Anolis sagrei: one gene and its partners. The protein of the gene in region 1 interacts with the protein of each later gene in a pairwise test. Links are inferred from orthologs where the notes say so. Each region holds a gene or a part of one and is shown on either strand. Other genes may lie near its edges.

Region 1 (7,147 bases):
GCTCTACCTGTTGGACATCCACCTAAAGTTCTACCTGTTGGACATTCACCCAAACTCACCATCCACCTAAAGCTCTACCTTTGGTACATCCACCTAAAGCTCTGCCTGTTGGACATCCACCTAATGTTCTACCTGTTGGACATTCACCCAAAGCTCGCCATCCACCTAAGCTCTATCATTGGTACATCCACCTAAAGCTCTACCTATTGAACAGCCACCCAAAATTCTACGGGTTGGACATGCACCTAAATTCTACCTGTTGGGCATTCACCCAATGCTCACCATCCACCTTTGGGACATCCACACGAAGCTCTACCTGTTGTGCATTCATCTAAAGCTCTACCTGTTGGATGTCCACCTAAAGTTCTACCTCTTGTGCATTCATCTAAAGGTCTACCTGTTGGACGTCCACCTAAAGTTCTACCTCTTGTGCATTCATCTAAAGGTCTACCTGTTGGACGTCCACCTAAAGTTCTACCTGTTGGACATGCACCTAAAGCTCTACCTTTGGTACATTCACCCAAAGCTCTGCCTGTTGGACATTCACCCAAAGCTCGCCATCCACCTAAGCTCTATCATTGGTACATCCACCTAAAGCTCTACCTTTAGTACATTCACCTAATGTTCTACCTGTTGGACATCCACCCAAAGCTCACCATCCACCTAAGCTCTATCTGTTGGGACATGCACTTAAAGTTCTGCCTGTTGTGCATTCATGTAAAGGTCTACCTGCTGGACATGCACCTAAAGTTCTACCTGTTGTGCATTCATCTAAAGTCCTCCCTCTTGAACGTCCACCTGTCCCTATTAAAGAACCTCTAATATACCCTTCCTCTTCTCCTTTTCTAACCTTGCCTGAAAATGGAACAGGGCTCCAAAATCAATTATCCCCGCCCGCCCGCTCCACTTCCTTTCCAGGCACTGACCCACCAAACACAAAATCAATCCCACCCTTTAATGCCTCCCCTCCCTCCCGCTCTCCGGGGCCCGCCCGCCTCGCTTTGGGCGTCCTCCTCACCCGCCGCCTCTTTCCTTCCTCAAAACGCCGAAGGGGTCGCGGCCGTCGCTCTCCGAGGCCTCCGAAACTCCCCGGGCTGAACTGAACCGTCTCCCGAGCGGGTCGGCGCGCCCTCCGCGTCCCCAGCCCAACCGAAGGGCGGAGCTCGAAGCTCTAGCCTCCAGCAACAGGCCGCCCTCGCCAGTCAGAAACTTCCGCCTACAAATCCCGGCATGCCATCGCGTCGCAGCGCTCCTTACGCAATCATAAACGGACGAGGATGACGTTACGTATGACGTCATCCGCCTCGTTCCCTCGCTTCCTCCCCAGCCAGGCAAAAGGAGTCGAAGGCAGAGCTATCGAGCGCCATTCAAATCCACTTTATCGGCCCTCTGCTTTTCTTTTCAAACATTAATAAAGACATGTTATATATATATATTTAAAAGCACGAAAAATACGCACAGACACTTTGATGTCTTTGAGGGATCCTCAAATATTTTACAATATTTGAATGGGAAATACAATACTTTTACAATATTTTAATGGTTTTACAATATTTTAATGGAAAATTATACCAAAGGGCTTCATTATTATTTCTTAAAATTTTTCAAAGCAATAATGGAATGTATTTTTATTATGTTTCATATTTATTGTATGATTTTTATTTTTTAATGTTTCATATTATATATATATATATATATATATAATTTATATATTTATTTTTATATTATATTTATATACTTATTTTATTATGTTTCATATTAATAATAATAATAATAATAATAATAATAATAATGTGTTGTCGAAGGCTTTCATAGCCGGAATCACTGGGTTGTTGTAGGTTTTTCGGGATGTCTGACCATGTTCCAGAAGCATTCTCTCCTGACGTTTCGCTCACATCTATGGTAGGCATCCTCAGAGGTTGTGAGGGCTGTTGGAAACTAGGAAAAATGGGTTTATATATCTGTGGAATGATGTCCAGGGTGGGAGAAAGAACTTTTGTCTGTTGGAGGCAAGTGTGAATGTTGCCATTGGCCAGCTTGATTAGCATTTGAAGGCCTGACAGTTTTTAGGTGTGGCTTCTTAGTGCCTGGGAGAATCTTTTGTTGAGAGGTTTTTTATTTATTTATTGTGTCATCAGCAACCGTACCATTGTATTACATTTCTAACAGAACAAAACAAACAAACAGATAAAAAAAACCCAAATTTTGCAAACTTGGTAGTTGATTAAATGTCCTTTGACCAGTATCTGGCCACTTGGAGTGCCTCTGGTGTTGCTGCAAGAAGGTCCTCCATTGTGCATGCAGCAGGGTTCAGGGTGCATTGCAGCAGGTGGTCAGTGGTTTGCTCTTCTCCGCACTCGCATGTCGTGGATTCCACTTTGTAGCCCCATTTCTTAAGATTGGCTCTGCATCTTGTGGTGCCAGAGCGCAGTCTGTTCAGCGCCTTCCAAGTCGCCCAGTCCTCTGTGTGCCCAGGGGGGAGTCATAGAATCATAGAATCAAAGAGTGGGAAGAGCCCTCATGGGCCATCCAGTCCAACCCCCATTCTGCCAAGAAGCAGGAATATTGCATTCAAATCACCCCTGACAGATGGCCATCCAGCGTCTGTTTAAAAGCTTCCAAAGAAGGAGCCTCCACCACACTCCGGGGCAGAGAGTTCCACTGCTGAACGGCTCTCACAGTCAGGAAGGTCTTCCTCATGTTCAGATGGAATCTCCTCTCTTGTAGTTTGAAGCCATTGTTCCGCATCCTAGTCTCCAAGGAAGCAGAAAACAAGTTTGCTCCCTCCTCCCTGTGGCTTCCTCTCACATATTTATACATGGCTATCATATCTCCTCTCAGCCTTCTCTTCTTCAGGCTAAACATGCCCAGCTCCTTAAGCCGCTCCTCATAGGGCTTGTTCTCCAGACCCTTGAATATAGGGTCTCAATATAGTGGGCTTTTTTGTTGCTGTTTTCAGGGCTTGTTTTCCAAAGTGTTCCATGTACAAATTAGCTATGGGGGCTCCCCATAGCTACTCCATCTTTCTGTTCATAGAACTCATTGTCCCACTGAAAGTAGCTGGTGGTGAGGCAATGGTGAAACAGAGCACAGAAATGCTGGACCACTCTCACAACCACCATGTCAGATTACACACAGAAGCCATTGAAATACACAAGCATGTGGACAATTTCATCAGAAAGGAGGAAACAATGAAAATGAACAAAATCTGGCTACTAGTATTAAAAAAAACTCTAAAATTACAACAGCACAACAACAGAGAGGAAACGAACAAGGACATTTAATCACCTCTCAACAAAAGATTCCCCCAGGCACTGTCAGGCCATTATATGCTAATCAAGGTGGTCAGTTGAAACATTCACACCTAGCTCCAGCAGACAAGAGTCCTTTGTCCCACCCTGGTCATTCCACAGATATATAAGCCCTTTTTCCTAGTTCCAATAGGCCTGCCATAGATTGAGGCGAAACGTCAGGAGAGTATGCCTCTAGACCCGAAAAAACCTACAACAACCCAGACCTCACAACCTCTGAGGATGCCTACCATAAAAGTGGGCGAAACGTCAGGAGGGAATGCTTCTGGAACATGGCCAGACAGCCTGAAAAACCTACAACAACCCATTATTATTAATTTATTATTATTATTATTATTATTATAGGAAAAATCCTGTGCACTTCTACTCCAAAGCTTCATCTGAACATTAGGAAAAACTTCCTGACTGTGAGAGCCGTTCAGCAGTGGAACTCTCTGCCCCGGAGTGTGGTGGAGGCTCCTTCATTGGAAGCTTTTAAGCAGAGGCTGGATGGCCATTTGTCAGGGGTGATTTGAATGCAATATTCCTGCTTCTTGGCAGGGGGTTGGACTGGATGGCCCATGAGGTCTCTTCCAACTCTTTGATTCTATGATTCTATGATTCATTGGGACAAAGGGGGCCTCTCGATCCCCCTTCCCCTTCTTTCTGATTTGGACTCTTCCAATGGGAACTACACTTCCCACAATGCAAAGCGCTCCTTTGGATTCTCTGTCTCCTCCCCCCATTGGACGAATGGTACGTTCCAATGGGGCGGGGCTGATGCTGTCGCCGTGGCAGCGCGGGGAGGGGGCCTGGAGGGCAGGTAAGAGCCTGGGGATGGTGGAGGGTGCAGTCCAAAGCCCCCAATTGAATACAAGAGGCCTTGGTTGCCGGGAAGGACCCATCCAGGCTTTGAACAGGAGATCACAAAGCCCATTCCAGCCTTTCCCAAGGCTCTAGGGGTCTGGGCTGATGGGTGGTGCAGTCCAATGTCTCTATAGAGCAGGGGTTCCCAACCTTGGGCCCTCCAGGTGTTTTGGACTTCAACTCCCAGGTATCCTAGCCAACTTAGCAGCTGTTAGGAATTGTGGGAGCTGAAGTCCAAAAGGCCTAGAGGACCAAAGGTTAGGAACCCCTCCTCTATAGAGAAGGATCCATTTATTCTGGGAAAGGGAGGCCACAAAGCTCAATTCTACCTTTCCCAAGGCACAAGGGCATCTGGGGATGATGGGTGATGCAGTCTGACATCCCTATTGAGGGCAGTAGGCACTCACTGTAGGGAAGAACCCATTATGTTGGGTAAAGGAGGGCATGCGTACCAAGTTTGGTCCAGATCTATTATGGGTGACCATGACAGGTTTGAATCGACTCCAATTCCCATCGTCCTCTATCAATTCTTGCCAGTTTTTAAAGTTGTTCCAGGTGTGAATGTGGGCCAACTTCAACCCAGATCCATTTATTTATTTATTTATTTACGACATTTATATGCCGCCCTTCTCACCCCGAAGGGGACTCAGATTGGCTTATAAGATATATATGTATATATATACATACATACAATATATTATATTATTAGCATAGTACAATATCAGCATTGAACATTGCTATATTGCACCATACCACTATATCGTAATATTATTAGTAATATTAGAATGGAGCATTCTCGGATGGAGGGCGATTAATAAGTTATTAAATGATGATGATGTAATATAAATATATAATTATAATATCATATTATTATTACATTGCATTACATTATAACATTTCTCCCATGGGGAGAAAGGTGGGGTATAAATAAAGATAATAATAAATTATAAATTATTATTATTAAGGTGGGGTATGAATTATTATTATTATTATACTGACACCAAACCACAGTATGTCACAGCAAATGAGATATATGTGCTGGATTTCGTATCACAAAATCACAAACCAAACACTTCCCACGCATCTAGGACTGTGTGATGTATTTTCAAATGATGCGCGCAGATCCAAGTCAGGTGGCCTTTTGCAGTTGACAGATCGTGATTTTGTCGCTATCAAGACCTCAAAATCGAACTGCAAAGGCTCTGGCATAAACCACTCCAGGTGGTCCCAGTGGTCATCGGCGCACTGGGTGCCTGCTGAGATCTTTTGGCATGGCACCCAGTGCGCCAATGACCACTGGGACCACCTGTACTGGTTTATGCCAGAGCCTTTGCAGTTTGATTTTGAGGTCTTGATAGTGGCTGAATTTTTCGTGTTGTTTTTCCTCAATGCGACTGTCACCTGGTATGGCGACATCAATAACATTTTCTTTTCCACAATCGTGATGTCTGGTTATTATCATCATCGTCATCATCATCATCATTATTTGAAACACAACAAGATGAGTCCACAGCAGACTCAGAGCGGCTTACAAGGTATATATTACATACAATATGTAATATATACCTTGTAAGTATATTACAAGGTATATTGTAATTGTTGAATTGGATCACACGTCGGGCACTTCCCAAGTGTCTAGGACTGTGTGATGTATCGGTGAATAATGCGTGTAGATCCCAGTAAGGTGGCCGTCTGCAGATAGCAGATGGTAATTTTGTCAGCGCCGATTGTGTTTAAGTGCAGGCCAAGGTCTTTAGGCACTGCACCCAGTGTGCCGATCACAACTGGGACCACCTTGACTGGCTTGTGCCAGAGTCTTTGCAGTTCGATCTTTAAATCTTAATATCGTATCAGCTTTTCCAGTTGTTTCCCTTCAATCCTGCTGTCGCCTGGGATTGCAACATCGACAATCCATACTTTGTTTTTTAACATGATCGTGAAGTCAGGAGTATTATGCTCCAAAACTCTGTCTGTCTGAATCCAGAAGTCCCAGAGGCGTTTGATGTGTTCATTCTCTGTAACTTTTTCCGGCTTGTGATCCCACCAGTTCTTTGTCACAGGAAGATGGTGTTTGTGGCACAAGTTCCAATGGATCATCTGAGCAACGGTGTTGTTCCTCTGCTTGTAGTCTATCTGCGTGATCTTGCAGCAGCTGAGGATGGGATCGATTGTTCCATCTGCTTCCTTGCAGAGTCTACACTTGGGATCTGTCGTCAACTTTTCAATTCTGGCTTTGATGGCTTTGGTTCTAACGGCTTGTTCTTGGGCTGCCAGAATCAGGCCCTCCTTTGTCTCCTTTTTCAGAGTTCCATTTGTGAGCCACAGCCATGATTTTACTTTGTCAATTTGGCTCTCAATTTATGCCAGGAATTGTGCATGGAGAGCCTTCTTTTGCCAGTTTTCTCTTCTGCTCTGGATTGTGTTTTTACAGTATTCCCTCTTTGTCTTTTGCACTTGAAGCAGTTTACTACTAACTTTCCTCAATGTTGGTTCTTGACTGCCTTTCACATCATCTGCCAGTGTGTGTTTCTCTTCTTCTACTATTTGTTTCCCTTGCAGAAGCCCTCTCTCTGCCTCCTGATTTTCTGGGCAGGTAAAATCTGTCAACATCACTACGCGGGTGTCATGAGGAGTGGATTGTCATCAGCTTTCTTGTTTTTCTTTCCAAATCATCCGGCTCTGCGTGTGTCCAGTTCATAATAATAATAATAATAATAATTATTATTATTATTATTATTATTATTATTATTAAAGGTGGTCACAGTGGTGACTGGCACACTGGGTGCAGTGCCTACAGACCTTGGCTTGCACTTAAACATAATCTGCGCTGACAAAATTTCATATGCCAGCTGCAGAAGGCCACCTTACTGGGCTCTGCACGCATTATTCACCATTTTAAATTCTCTGTGTTATTAAATTATGTGTGTTATTGTTTATATGTAAGTTATATTAATTGTATTGTTTTATTTGCTTATTGCTTTGTTGTTTTA
Region 2 (7,656 bases), on another chromosome or scaffold:
ATCAAGTGCAGTATCAAGTGCAGTATTAGCTGAAACCTCACTGAGTGTGTTCACCAAATCCCCCCTTCCTGATTTTTCCTCTCCTCCTATTCCTTCTCATAACAGTAAAGTAATTACTAGTCTTGCTGGCAATGTAAACATTTCCCCCTCTGTTTTGGAATACAGTAGAGTCTTGCATATCCAACATAAATGGGCCAGCAGAACATTGGATAAGCTAAAATGTTGGATAATAAGGAGGGATTAAGGAAAGCCTATTAAACGTCAAATTATGTTATGATTTTACAAATTAAGCAACAAAACATGTTTTACAACAAATCGACAGAAAATGCAGCTCAATACACGGTAACGTTATGTAGTAATTACTGTATTTACGAATTTAGCACCAAAACATTGCAATGTATTGAAACAGCTGTGGATCCAGGCAGGAGGCAGATTGCGTTGGATAATACAGAACGTTGGATGAGTGAAGGTTGGATAAGCAAGACTGTATGTGTCAAAAATACATGGATTTTTTGATTCACAATATATTTACAAATGATTGCCGCTTATTGTTAATACCCATTAGTCTAGCCCAAGAGCCATTGAACCAACTGTAAGAATCGAGTTGGACCAAAGATCCATCTAATGCACCTTTTTCAATTTCTAGTAGGGTTCATACCATTTATCTTCTTTCTCAGCTGTTTCTCATTTTTCTTCTCTTTCTTAACTGTAAGAATTGAACCAACTGTAAGGATTAGGTTGGACAAAAGATCCAGCTAGTGCACCTTTTTCCATTTCTAGCAGGTTTCATATCATTTTTCTTTTTAGCACAGAGGTTGTGCTTGGATAGCAAATTCAAAACTACAGTATATTAGAGAAAAAGTTATAAGCTTGGGGATTTAGGGCAGTTCACAACATACAGTGGCAAATATTTAATAATATTGTTAGGAATTGTGGGTGTTGAAGTTCAAAACACCTGGAGGGCCGAAGTTTGCCCATGCGTGGATTAGCCCAATTCTCCTTCACTTCCTTTACTTGCAGTTTCTTTTCAATGTGAGCAGCATGCGTTCTAACACAATAGTGTTTACAGGGTGGCTGTGTTCACTTCTCAAAGAGCTTCAGGTACTAATAATCTGGGTAATCATTACAATAACTCTTAAGGGAGCGAATGTCAGCTTTGTTTTACGTGAGGAGGACTTCAGCCTGAGGAATAGCAACTTCCTTAGGATTTGTATTAAGATCAAATTGGTAAATCTGTCGTCTTTATACTAAGGTACCCTAAAAACTAACAAATGTATGAAAACATAACATTTTGTGGTCATGCTATAATAAATTTGTTAGTTTTCCAAGTGTCGCCCGTTTCTGTATTGTTTCCGATGCAACACAAGAGCTGATCTTCATCATTTCCTTAAACAAACAGTAAGATACTCTTTTTTCCTGAGGTCTGTTTTATGCACATAGAAGACTAACCAAAAACATGTACAGTCGAACAGCCAGAGAACACTAATACTACTTGTAAAGAGTCAGTTTGAGGGCATTTTAATGCAAAAGGGGAAATACTGTACAGTGTCAGAAGGCCATAACAGATCAACCATTTAAATTTTTAACTTTCTTTAATTGGAAGCATTATCCTGGGTAAATCAGTCTTCTTTGATGTTACGACTGTGTCCTTTTTTGAGGAGGGGCTTGTAACAATGTGGCTCTTTACTCACCACGTAATATGTAACAAACCAAGTAAGCTTCACTGAACTTTGTCCATGAATGTGGAGTATTCAGAATAAATGGCTTTTTTGTTGTTTCATTGCCTTTCTCTTCATTGTTCACTGGAATCAAAGCAAGTGGTGCATTGGGGGAAAACGTGCTTGCTGTGAAAGTGAAGGAACTACTAAGGTAAGCTGAACCAGTGTAGTGTGCTGTTTTGCATGTTTGACTGTGACTCCGGAGACCAACCACAGTTCAACCCACCGCATGTCCTTGGTTGAGTCAGTCCCATACCTTCAGCATGAGAAAGATGCTTAAGGTTGTTGTAAGGTGGAAGCAACTTGAAGGTATGCAACAAAACCTTAGGGATGTTGTGATAATGTAGTGCTACATTTCCTGATTGTGGAACTGGCCAAAGACGAGCACAAACAAACACAAGCCTTGGATTTAAGGAAAGTTGATTGTATAACATTGAGGGAAATACTGGCTGCCACTCTGCTACCAAGCACAATTCAAAGTGCTGGTTTTAGCCTATAAAGCCCTTAATGGTTCTGACCCAGTTTACCTGTCTGAACGTTTCTCCCTCTAAGAGCCAGCTAGAAGGTTAAGATTGTCTGGGAAGGCCCTGCTCTCGGTCCTGCCTCTTTCACAGGTGCGGTTGGTGGGGACAAGAGATAGGGCCTTTTCAGTGGTGGCCCCTCGGCTATGGAACTCCCTCCCTAATGAGGTCAGATCAGCCCCCTCCCTCCTGACCTTCAGGAAAAGGCTAAAGACATGGATGTGGGATAGTTTGGTTAGTAACCCATTAGAAAAATATGAAATAGTGAAATGACAATTTGGAACAGCCATGGATTATGATTTTGGATAATGTTTTTAAATAAATGGTTTTAAGGTTTGATATGTTTTAATGATTTTTTAAAATGTATGTTTATTTTACTATGTTTGCATGCCATTGAATCGCTGTCTATAGATGTAAGCCACCTTGAGTCCCCTGAGGGATTGAGAAAGGTGGGGTATAAATATGGGAGTGGAGTGAGCTTCTGCCAACCTAGCAGTCCAAAGAAAACCCACGGGAGCATTGCAGCACACCCAAATAAGTGGGAGTTACCCTGGACCATTCACTGACCTACAAGAAGCACTGCCTGAATATCAAGCAAAAATTGGGTGCTAGAAACAATATCATACGAAAGCTGACTGGCACAACCTGGGGATCACAAACAGACACAGTGAGGACATCTGCCCTTGCGTTATGCTACTCTTGCACTTTGCTGAGTATGCATGCCCAGTGTGGAACACATCTCACCATATATATAATATTATCATCATCATTATATATTACCAATCATAATAATATATTATAAATTATTATTTATGCACAATTATTAATATATATTTTCCTCATATATTATCCATCGTAGTAATTTATTACTATTTATATTTAATTTACATTATTTATATTATATAATATAAATAAATATCACATCTACGGCAGGCATCATAATTTATTATTTATATATAATAACATATATATAGAAATCATTGTGATATATTATTTTATTTATTTATTTATTTACCTAACTTATATACTGCTGTTCTCAGCCCGAAGGCGACTCACAGCGGTTCACAACAAATATGAACAGCAAAAATCCAGTGCTACAGTATAGAAACAGTTAACAACCTAACACATTACACAGTTAATAAACAATGTATTGTCGAAGGCTTTCATGGCTGGAATCACTAGGTTCTTGTGGGTTTTTTCGGGCTATAGGGCCATGTTCTAGAGGCATTTCTCCTGACGTTTCGCTTGCATCTATGGCAAGCATCCTCAGAGGTAGTGAGTAGCTGTTTAATTAATAAACAGTTGCTACAATACCCATTCACTGTCGTCTCATCATAAAAAACATGTTCCAGATTCGTCATCCATTGTTCTATTCCAGTGTTCATTAACCAATCATTGCACTAATTATTCGAACGCCTGCTCAAACAGCCAGGTCTTCACTTTTTTGCGGAATACCATCAGAGATGGTGCTAGCCTAATGTCCGTAGGAAGGGCGTTCCACAGCTGAGGAGCCACCACCGAGAAGGCCCTATCTCTCGTCCCCACCAGCCGAGCTTGAGAAGCAGGCGGGATCGAGAGCAGGGTCTCCCTGGAAGATCTTAAAGTCCTGGTGGGTTCATAGGCAGAGATGCGGTCAGATAGGTAGCTTGGGCCGGAACCGTTTAGGGCTTTAAAGGCCAACGCCAGCACTTTGAATTCAGCCCAGTAGCAGATCGGTAGCCAGTGGAGTTGGCGCAACAGGGGGGTTGTATGCTCCCTGCGCTCCGCTCCTGTTAAAATCATGGCTGCCGAGCGTTGGACTAGTTGGAGCTTCCGAGCTGTCTTCAAAGGCAACCCCACGTAGAGAGCGTTGCAGTAGTCTAAACGGGATGTAACCAGAGCGTGGACTACCGTGGCCAAGTCAGACTTCATAATAATAATTTATATTATTATGTATATATTATCATATATATATATTGGTATATTATCCACCATGGCTACATCATTCCTGCAGAGGGAAATATATATCTTTAAATGGCCTGCCTTTAATTGGAAGAAACTAGTTCAGAAGCCAGTACTCAGTCTAGAAGTTACACTTGAATGTCATTGCTTGACGTCATTAAAGAGCGCCGATGACATTGCTTGACGTCCTTAGCGTGCGCCGTGTCAACAAGGTGCCTCGCATGCAAACAATCTGCGCATGCGCTGTGGCAACCAACCTCTCAGCGCGGTGCTCCTTGCTTTAAGGTCCGGGTGAAGCCTTGTCCTTGTAGAGATAAAACTACCCCCTCACACACACATATATCTATGTAGGTATATATATATGTGTGTGTGTGTGTGTGTGTATAAATGTGTACGGATGTATGTATATTCTTTCCTATCTGATGGATGTATATCCTTTCCTATCTGTACACTTTGCCCGGCCCTTTTCTCCCCGGGGTGAGTGTTTCCGCCCGGACGCGGATAGAGGCGGACCCTCCTTCTGTGAGCGGGTCTGCGGCCTTCCTCCCGCCTCATGGCTTTCAACTTCGGGGCCGCTGCCAGCGCTGCCGCCGCCCCGAACCCCGCGGGTGAGTCAGAGAGAAACAGGGAGACACTCCGGAGGGGAGGGAGGGAGGGTGGCTGCTGTGTGTACTCTAACGCCAGGGTCACTACGTTGCTGTGAGTCTTTTTGGCTGTATGGCCATATTCCAGCAGTATTCTCTCCTGACGTTTCTCCTACATCTATGGCAGGCATCCTCAGAGGTTGTGAGGCTTGTTGGAAACTAGGCAAATGGGGTTTATATATCCAGGTTGGGAGAAAGAACTCTTTTCCCTGTTGCTGTTGCCCAGCTTGCTAAGTACTGAGTAGCCTTTTAGCTTCAAGGCCTGGCTGCTTCCTGCCTTTGTTGGGAAGTGTTTGATGGCCGGCCCTGATCCAAGAAGTCCTCCATTCAGATATTGCCTCACGTGAACTATATGAGCAGCCAGGCCTGTAGCGAGGGGGTGGTTTTAGGGGTTCAAACTCACCCCGAAAGGAACATGAAAGGCACTGCAGACTACTTCAACCAGAGAAGTCAGCCATAGCAGAGCACTTGGTGAACCAGCCTGGACACAGCATATTATTTGAGAACACAGAAATGCTGGACCACTCCAACAACCACCATGTCAGACTACACAGAGAAGCCATTGAAATCCACAAGCATGTGGACAATTTCAACAGAAAGGAAGAGACCACAAAAATGAACAAAATCTGGCTACCAGTATTAAAAAAACTCTAAAATTACAACAGCAAAACAGCAGAGAGGAAACATCCAGGCACATCTTAACACCTCTCAACAGGGGATTTTCCCAGGCTCAGCCAGGCCTTCAAATGCTAATGAAGGTGGTCAGTTGAAACATTCACACCTAGCTCCAGCAGAGAAGAGCTCCTTGCCCCACCCCAGCCATTCCACAGATATATAAACCTATTGTCCTAATTCCAACAGACCTCACTACCTCTGAGGATGCTTGCCATAGATGAAGGCGAAACGTCAGGAGAAATGCCTCTAGAACATGGCTCTATAGCCCGAAAAAAAACCACAAGAACCTAGTGATTCCAGCCATGAAAGCCTTCGACAATACATCCCCCCGAAATGTTTCAGATTTTTTTAAAAGCCTGGTTTACTCATGAATTTTAACTGGTTAACCCAATCCCCATGCTAAGTCTATGAGATGCAAAAAATTAAGAGTCCCCCCAGAACTGTAAGCACTATCTCAAGCAAATATTGACAATTTATTCACACTGCCATTACTTGCAGCAATAGCCAGTGTACTGCAGCAACCAAGCAACTCATTAAGGAGGCCAGACTTGGTGGAGGTGGTTGACAGGGGTGGAGCTGCAGGCTATTGAAGGCTGCTCTGCTCCCTGCTGTGCTCTTTGCTTCAGCGTGAGCTAGGAGGCAGGTTTCAACCCCCCCCCCAAATGTTCAAACACCCCCCCCCCCCAAATTGTCAACCCTCCCCGAAATTTTTTTCTGGCTACGGCCTTGTGGGCAGCCTTCTAGTTTCAGGCCTCCACCCTTTGAAATTAGAATTTATCAGACATAATAATAATAATAATAATAATAATAATAATAAATGTAGAGTAGAGTAACTTACTAGCAGCATCATGACCCAGCACCAGTAGTCCAAAGTGGTAAAAAGACGAAAAACACACAGACCAATGTTATCTTTTCTTTTGGAGGCTTTTCTTTGTAGTAAAATAATATGGTTACACTATTTACACTATTTAGCTGGGTTGCAGCTAAACATCAAAAAAACCAAGATTATGGCAACAAGAATGATTGACAACTGGGAAATAGAGGGAGAAAATGTGGAGGCCGTGACAGACTTTGTATTTCTAGGAGCAAAGATTACTGCAGATGCAGACTGTGGCCAGGAAATCAGAAGACACTTACTTCTTGGGAGGAGAGCAATGGCCAATCTTGATAAAATAGTAAAGAGTAGAGACATCACACTGGCAACAAAGATCCGCCTAGTCAAAGCCATGGTATTCCCTGTAGTAACCTACGGATGTGAGAGCTGGACCTTAGGGAAGGCTGAGCGAAGGAAGATCGATGCTTTTGAACTGTGGTGCTGGAGGAAAGTTCTGAGAGTGCCTTGGACTGCGAGAAGATCCAACCAGTCCATCCTCCAGGAAATAAAGCCCGACTGCTCACTGGAGGGAAGGATACTAGAGACAAAGTTGAAGTACTTTGGCAACATCATGAGGAGACAGCAAAGCCTAGAGAAGACAATTATGCTGGGGAAAGTGGAAGGTAAAAGGAAAAGGGGCCGACCAAGGGAAAGATGGATGGATGGCATCCTTGAAGTGACTGGACTGACCTTGAAGGAGCTGGGGGTGGTGACGGCCGACAGGGAGCTCTGGCATGGGCTGGTCCATGAGGTCACAAAGAGTCGGAGACGACTGAACGAATGAAAAACAACAACACTATTTACAAGAACAAGGTTTCTGTAACACAAAGTTCTTTATACTTCCTTCGTTGCTTCCATGCTGGGCTTCTTTCTCAAAGGGCGGAAAGTGTGCTGGCGGCCGGGGAAGGTTTTTACAAGGCTCTAGTGCAAACAGAGCGGCAGGAACTGGATTCCTCCCCCCCTTCTTGTGCTTTCCCCCACCCACTTTCTGACAGTGAAGGAGCCGGGGCTCTGGGAGGGGATGACATGTAAGCCATAGACCACGTCCTCCTCCCTCCTTCGCTGCTGCGTCTCTCACTCACTGCACTGTCTCGCGCATGCATTCCCTTCACGAATTCTGACCCATGGTGCGCAACCATCATAGGGTCCCAGCTATCATACTTTTGCCAATATGGGATTTTATTCAGCTGTGTGGAAGAGGCCCAAGATCAGTGATTCTCAACCTGTGGGTCCCCAAATGCTTTGGCCTTTAACTCCCAAAAATCCTAACAGCTGGTAAACTC
Region 3 (7,428 bases), on another chromosome or scaffold:
TAATAGAGCAAAATAATAAATGTAATAATAATCATTAGAGTAAAATAATAAATGTAATAATAATAAATGGAGGTGCTCTTGGGGGAAAATAGACCTTGACATATGCGAGTTGTAGTTACTGGGATGTATAGTTCACCTACAGTCAAAGAGCATTCTGAACTCCACCAATAATAAAATCGGGCCAAATTTCCCACACAGAACCCCCACAACCAACAGAAAATACTGTGTTTTCTGATGGTCTTTGGCGTTCCCTCTGACACCCCATCGCGACCCCCCCCCCAGGGGTCCCGACCCCCAGGTTGAGAAACTCGGAGCAAACATAGCAAACTTGAAGTACTGATGGACTTTCTCGGGGTTAACCTGGCATGATGTGAGTTGTAGTTCACCCACAACTTTATGCATTTAGGACATTTACAAAACTGACTTTTTCAAATAACATGGGCAATGCCAGGCACCCAAGCTAGTAATAAGTAAAAGAAAATACAACAACATGAAACCAGTAATAACATTACATAAAATAAAATAATAAAATTAGTATAATATAATATTATGTGTGTGTGTGTGTGTGTGTGTGTATTACTAATCTATACACATAATAAAAGTGAAAATGTGTATGACTGTATGTGGTGGAGGTGTCCAGTTACACAGACAGCCTCCTGCCTCCACAAAGGCTATAGTTCCCACTATGCAGGAAGCACCGATTGCCCTCCCTCCACTGACATTCCAGGTTAGAGTGGGCACTATGAACATGTTTCCCTACCCCTGGCAATGTCGTCCCCAAACACCATACTGCACGACACCCAAGGAAAGCTTTCATTCAGAGACGAATTCATCCTAGATGTTCTGTTTTGCCTCCAACAAACAACAACAGAGAGGAAACAAAAAAGGACTTCTAATCACCTCTCAACAAAAGTTTGCTCCAGGCACTGTCAGGCCATTATATCAAGGTGGTCAGCTGAAACATTCACACCTAGCTCCAACAGACAAGAGTCCTTTGTCTCACCCTGGTCATTCCACAGATATATAAACCCTTTTTCCTAGTTCCAACAGACCTCACTACCTCTGAGGATGCTTGCTATAGATGCAGGTGAAACGTCAGGAGAATGCCTCTAGACCATGGCCATATAGCCCGAAAAAACCTACAACTCAGTGATTCCGGCCATGAAAGCCTTCGATAATACATTAAACAATGCTTTTTTCAAATAACTCGTGGACCGCCGAGTCCCCAAGCTAGTATTACTAATAGACATAAAATTAATATAAAACAATATAATATATGTATAATAATAATAATAATAATAATAATAAAACTTTATTTATACCCCGCTACCATCTCCCCAAGGGACTTGGAGTGGCTTACATGAGGCCAATCCCAACAACACATCGATAAAAACAACAAGCAATAAGCAAAATAAATAATACAATTAATATAACTCACACATAGACAATAACACACAATGATTTCAAAACCTATGGCTGGGCCAGATGTAATTAAACCAAAAGTAGAGAGCAACCCAACGGGTAATTAAAGTGCTTCTGAGGATATTTTATATATTATAAATATACAATTTAATAATAATAATAATAATAAGAGAAGAATGTGGGATATAAATATAGTGCTAAAATATTACTAATAAAAATAAATTAAATTAAATATAATTAATATAATATTATGGGTGTGCATATATTACTAATATACAATTTAATAATAATAGGAGAAGTGGGATACAAATATTACTAATAAGAATAAAATAAAATAAATAAAATAGAATTAATATCATATAATATTATGAGTGTGCATATATTACTAATACACAATTTAATAATAATAAGAGTAGTGGGATACAAATATTACTAATAAGAATAAAATTAAATAAATAAAATATAATTAATATCATATAATATTATGTGTGCGTATATATTACTAATATACAATTATTATTAGCATTATTATTATAAGAGAAGAAAGGAGGATATAAATATAATATTAAAATAGGAATAATAGAATAAAATACATATAATATAAAGTGTATATATTACTAATATATTATTTAATAATAATAATAATAATAATAATTTTATGATTTCCTCATGGCGGTTCACGGCACAGTCAAAACACACAAACATTGCAAGAAAAAAAATCCATAAACGCATGTATTAAAATGTTAGTTCTAGAATATACCAATTCTATCAAATGCATATGGAGTACACAGGGCAGAGATTGAAACACATTGAGAAACCTAAAGACTGTAGACATTATGCTGGGTGGAAGGAGGAAGAAATTAAAAGCAGGAGAGAAGCCAGATTCTGAATGTCTTGCACTCATCTTGCAAGCCATTGCAAGCAGAAGAGAGAAGCGACCCATTGCAATGCAAAGGCAGTAGGGTGGGCAGGAAATGGCATGGCTTTTACCCCAATCTCCAATCCCCCTTCACTTTCCTCTGCTTGCAAAACACTCACCTGGACCCAGGAATTGCTCACTTCCTTGGTCCCGCCTCTCTTTCCATCAGCTGATGGCCGAGGAGGCGGCTGATAGGCTGCGAGAGCTGCCACTCCAGCCTGACCTCCGCACACCCCCATTGCGCAACCTCTTAAAGGGACAGTGACCATCCCCAGACTGTATATTTACCACCAGCTTTCTACTTATGCCTTTTCAGACTACAGTTCTCATCAGGCTTCTCTTTGTGATTACAGTTCTCACCAGCTTTTCCTTAATGTCTTTACAGACTACATTTCCCATCAGCCTCTCTGTCTTTTCAGATTACAGTTCCCATCAGCCTTGACTTTGTGACCTTTCGGATTACAGTTCCCATCAGCCTTTCCTTAATTTCTTTACAGACTACAGTTCCCATCAGACTTTGTGTCATTTCAGATTACAGTTCCCATCAGCCTTTGTGTCTTTTCAGATTACAGTTCCCATTAGTCTTCCCTTTGGGTCTTTATAGACTACAGTCCCAATCTGCCTTTATGTCCTTTTGGACTACAGTTCACACCAGCCTTCCCTTTGTGTCTTTAAACTACAGTTCCCATCAAGCTTCCCTTTGACTTTACAGACTACGGTTCCCATCATCCTTCCCTTTGTACCCTTTCGGATTACAGTTCCCATTAGCCTTTCCTGAATGTCTTTACAGACTACAGTTCCCATCATCCTTCCTTTTGGGTCCTTACAGGCTACAGTTCCCATCAGCTTTTCCTTAAGGTCTTTACAGACTACAGTTCACATCAAGCTTTCCTTTGTGTCTTTACAGACTACAGTTCCCATCATCCTTCCCTTTGTGTCTTTACAGGCTACAGTTCCCATCAGCTTTTCCTTAAGGTCTTTACAGACTACAGCTCACATCAGCTTTTCCTTAAAGTCTTTACAGACTACAGTTCACATCAAGCTTTCCTTTGTGTCTTTACAGGCAACAGTTCCCATCAGCTTTTCCTTAAGGTCTTTACAGACTACAGTTCCCATCAAACTGACCTTTGCCCCGATCCGAGGTTTTAAAATGAATCTGCGTATTCAGGATGACTCAGTGGAGAGAATGAAGTAATACTTTAACTGGAAGAATAATATAATATTTTATATTGACATATAATATTAATAATAATATTATACATTATAATACTAATAATAATATGATATAATACATAATACTAATATTGTGCTATGCTAATAATATCATATATTACATATTCATATAATATTAATAATACACTATAACAATATATAATACTAATATTGTGCTATGCTAATATTATCATATATTATATATTCATATAATATTAATAATACACTATAATAATATATAATACTAATATTGTGCTATGCTAATATCATCATATATTATATATTCATATAATATTAATAATACACTATAATAATATATAATACTAATATTGTGCTATGCTAATATCATCATATATTATATATTCATATAATATTAATAATACAATATAACAATATATAATACTAACATTGTGCTATGCTAATATTATTATATATTATATATTCATATAATATTAATAATGTAATATAATACTATATAATACCAATATAACACTAATATATGAAATATATTACTGCTGATAATATATAATAATATAAAAATGGCAATACTATTTTATTGTTTTCTGAAAAGATGAAGCGGGATATCAATCCAAAAAAATCGATGAATGAATAAATCTAATATCTGTGTTATTGCATTCCCATAACATAGAGAGGGCGTGGTTTAGCCCTCTTTTTATCCCCCAATGAAAATGCGGCGGGGGCGGAGCCAACGGAGTAGGAAGCAAAGCGCAGGCGGGTCCACCATTGCTAGGGTAACCACGCAGGGCACGTCCAGGGACGCAAAGCCTATGTCAGCGCGTAGCCACGCCCCACCCGGAAGTGAGCCGTTAGAGGCTGTTGGAAAGGAGCCTTCCGGTGGGGCTGAGTGGAAGAAGCGCTCTCTCTCAGCGCAGGCCTCGGTCGCGTCAGGGATGTGAGCTTTTGGCTTTGGAGCTTCTTTCAGGTGCGTCGGGGGCGGGGCCAAAATGGCCATTGGGGAACAGTGAGTGGGCGGGGCCTGACCCGATGGAGTGTCTCAGGGGGCGGGGTTGTGGGCGGAGCTTGGGGAAGGGGCGGAGTTTGGGAAGGGTCCTCTTCTGCCAACACAGATACAGACTTATAGAATCATAGAATCAAAGACTTGTCAGCTGGAAAGGAGGGGGTTTCCTATTGGGAAGGGCTTGTTGGCTTTCACAAGGGGCAATCCTTGTGAGGTTTGTGGGCTACTGAGCACAGAAGTCATAGAATCATAGAGTTGGAAGAGACCCCATTCTGCCATGCAGGAAAAGCACAGTCAAAACACCCCTGACAGAAGGCAATTTAGGCTTACAATTTAGAGTTACAAGCTGGGTAGGTGCAGAGAATGCTGTGGATTTCAGTAAGGCCTTCAACAAGGTCCCCCATGACCTTCTGGCAAACTAGTCCAATGTGGGCTAGCCAAAACTACGGTTAGGTGGATCTGTAATTGGTTAAGCGGACGAACCCAGAGGGTGCACACCAATGTATTGTCAAAGGCTTTCATGGCCGGAATCACTGGGTTGTTGTAGGTTTTTTCGGGCTGTATGGCCATGGTCTAGAGGCATTCTCTCCTGACGTTTCGCCTGCACTTGGCAAGCATCCTCAGAGGTAGTGAGGCCTGTTGGAGCTAGGCAAAAGGGTTTATATATCTGTGGAATGACCAGGGTGAGACAAAGGACTCTTCTCTGTTAGAGCTAGGTGTGAATGTTCCAACTGACCACCATGATTAGCATACAATGGCCTGACCGCGCCTGGGGCAAGCTTTTGTTGAGAGGTAGATGTCCTTGCCTGTTTCCTCTGTTGTGCTGTTGCAATTTTAGAGTTTTTTAATACTGGTAGCCAGATTTTGTTCATTTTCATTCTTTCCTCCTTTCTGTTGAAATTGTCCACATGTTTGTGTATTTCAATAGCTTCTCTGTGTAGTCTGACATGGTGGTTATGAGAGTGGTCCAGCATTTCTGTGTTTTCAAATAAAATGCTGTGTCCAGGTTGGTTCATCAGGTGCTCTGCTATGGCTGATTTCTCTGGTTGAAGTAGTCTGCAGTGCCTTTCATGTTCCTTGATGCGTGTCTGGGCAATACTGCTGCATTTGGTGGTCCCTATGTAGACTTGTCCACAGCTGCATGGTACACGGTAGACTCCTGCAGAGGTGAGAGGATCCCTTTTGTCCTTTGCTGAACGTAGCATTTGTTGGATTTTCTTGGTGGGTCTGTAGATAGTTTGTATGTTGTGTTTCCTCATCAGCTTCCCTATGCGGCACTACAAATAAGATACATGCAGTGTGCATAGGAATTCATTCATTTTTTTCCAAATTATAATCCGGCCCTCCACCAGTTTGAGGGACTGTGACCTGGCCCTCTGTTTAAAAAGTTTGTGCACCCCTGTTCTAGAGGCATTTTCTCCTGACGTTTCGCCTGCATCTATGGCAAGCATCCTCAGTGGTAGTGAGGTCTGCTGGAACTAGGAAAAAGGGTTTATACATCTGTGGAATGACCAAGGTGGGACAAAGGACTCTTGTCTGTTGGAGCTAGGTGTGAATGTTTCAACAGCAGTACAATACAATACAGCAACATAAAATATAAACAAAAAAATAACATCACAGTAAAAATAAACCGATAAAATAAAATAAATAATATAAAATAACATAATATAAAATCAAACACAATAGGTAGGCCAGATGTTTGACATAAAATTATAAAACACTAGATGAGATAGCAATGAAAAGTGCAATTTGTAGGGAAGGAGCTCGTAGAGGACTGAACAGTGGAGTTAAACTTTCAATAAGTTGGGGGAAAGTGCAATATGGGGAGAATGCTCTTTGAATGCAATTTTCCTGCTGCTTGGCACTGGATGGTTTTGAGGTCTCTTCCAACTCTATGATTCTATGATTATGATTCTAAGATCCGATGGGCCATCTCGTCTGACCCCATTCTGCCATGCAGGAAAAGCACAATCAAAATACCCTTGACAGAAGGCAATTTAGGCTTCTCAGCTGTTAAACTGAAATCCCTGGTTATCTCTTTGAACTGTTAAGGACAACGTTATGCCAATGCACAACATATATACCAGATCTTCAGAAGTGCATGTGAAAAAGATCTCTCTGCCCCGGAGTGTGGCTGGGGCTCCTTCTTTGGGGGCTTTGAAACAGAGGCTGGATGGCCATCTGTCAGAGATGCTTTGAATTCAATTTTCCTGCTTCTTAGCAGGGAATTGGACTGGATGGCCCATGAGGTCTCTTCTAACTCTATGATTCTATGATTATATTTTCTCCTTTTTCTTTTATATTTGTTTATATGCCTATATGTACTTTGGTATAAGTCTAAGTCAAACTCAATGTATAAGTCAAAGGCAGGTAGGAGAGCCAAAATGAGTCACCTTTCACCACTCAGAGAAAGGGATAGTTCCATTTTTTTTTACAAGAGTTAAGATGCAGTATTTACATTGATGTTTCATATACACCTTATACACATAAGTCTGAAGACTGTTGCACATGAAACTAAGTCCATGTATATTAAGCTACCAGGCTTTTAAACAGAGGTTGGATAGCCATCTTTCGGGGGTGCTATCTACACCCCGCCTTTCTCTACCCCAAAGGAGGCTCAAGGCAGCTTAAAAGGTAAGGTAAAGGTTGTCCCCTGACATTAAGTCCAGTCATGTCTGACTCTGGGGGTTGGTGCTCATCTCCATTTCTAAGCCGAAGAGCCGGGGTTGTCCGTAGACACCTCCAAGGTCATGTAGCCAGCATGACTGCATGGAGCGCCATTACCTTCCCGCCGGAGCGGTAACTATTGATCTACTCACATTTGCATATTTTCGAACTGCTAGGTTGGCAGGAGCTAGGGGTGACAGCAGAAGCTCACGCTGCTCCCCGGAATCAA

The links.
Region 2: the proteins of IFT20 (region 1) and NUP54 interact in binary tests that used the Homo sapiens proteins (3 or more experiments, as listed by UniProt). The two-hybrid records come from large-scale screens. The link is inferred for Anolis sagrei from reciprocal best matches to the Homo sapiens genes IFT20 and NUP54.
Region 3: the proteins of IFT20 (region 1) and KXD1 interact in binary tests that used the Homo sapiens proteins (3 or more experiments, as listed by UniProt). The two-hybrid records come from large-scale screens. The link is inferred for Anolis sagrei from reciprocal best matches to the Homo sapiens genes IFT20 and KXD1.

The regions. Positions count from the first base shown.
Region 1 is NC_090031.1:25,687,638-25,694,784, reverse strand, and holds the start of IFT20 (intraflagellar transport protein 20 homolog), read left to right. Parts: upstream 1-4,050; 5' UTR 4,051-4,113; intron 4,114-7,147. UniProt on the Homo sapiens protein: Part of intraflagellar transport (IFT) particles involved in ciliary process assembly. May play a role in the trafficking of ciliary membrane proteins from the Golgi complex to the cilium.
Region 2 is NC_090025.1:13,510,088-13,517,743, reverse strand, and holds the start of NUP54 (nucleoporin p54), read left to right. Parts: upstream 1-4,562; 5' UTR 4,563-4,733; coding exon 4,734-4,788; intron 4,789-7,656. UniProt on the Homo sapiens protein: Component of the nuclear pore complex, a complex required for the trafficking across the nuclear membrane.
Region 3 is NC_090034.1:50,953,088-50,960,515, reverse strand, and holds the start of KXD1 (kxDL motif-containing protein 1), read left to right. Parts: upstream 1-4,334; 5' UTR 4,335-4,496; intron 4,497-7,428.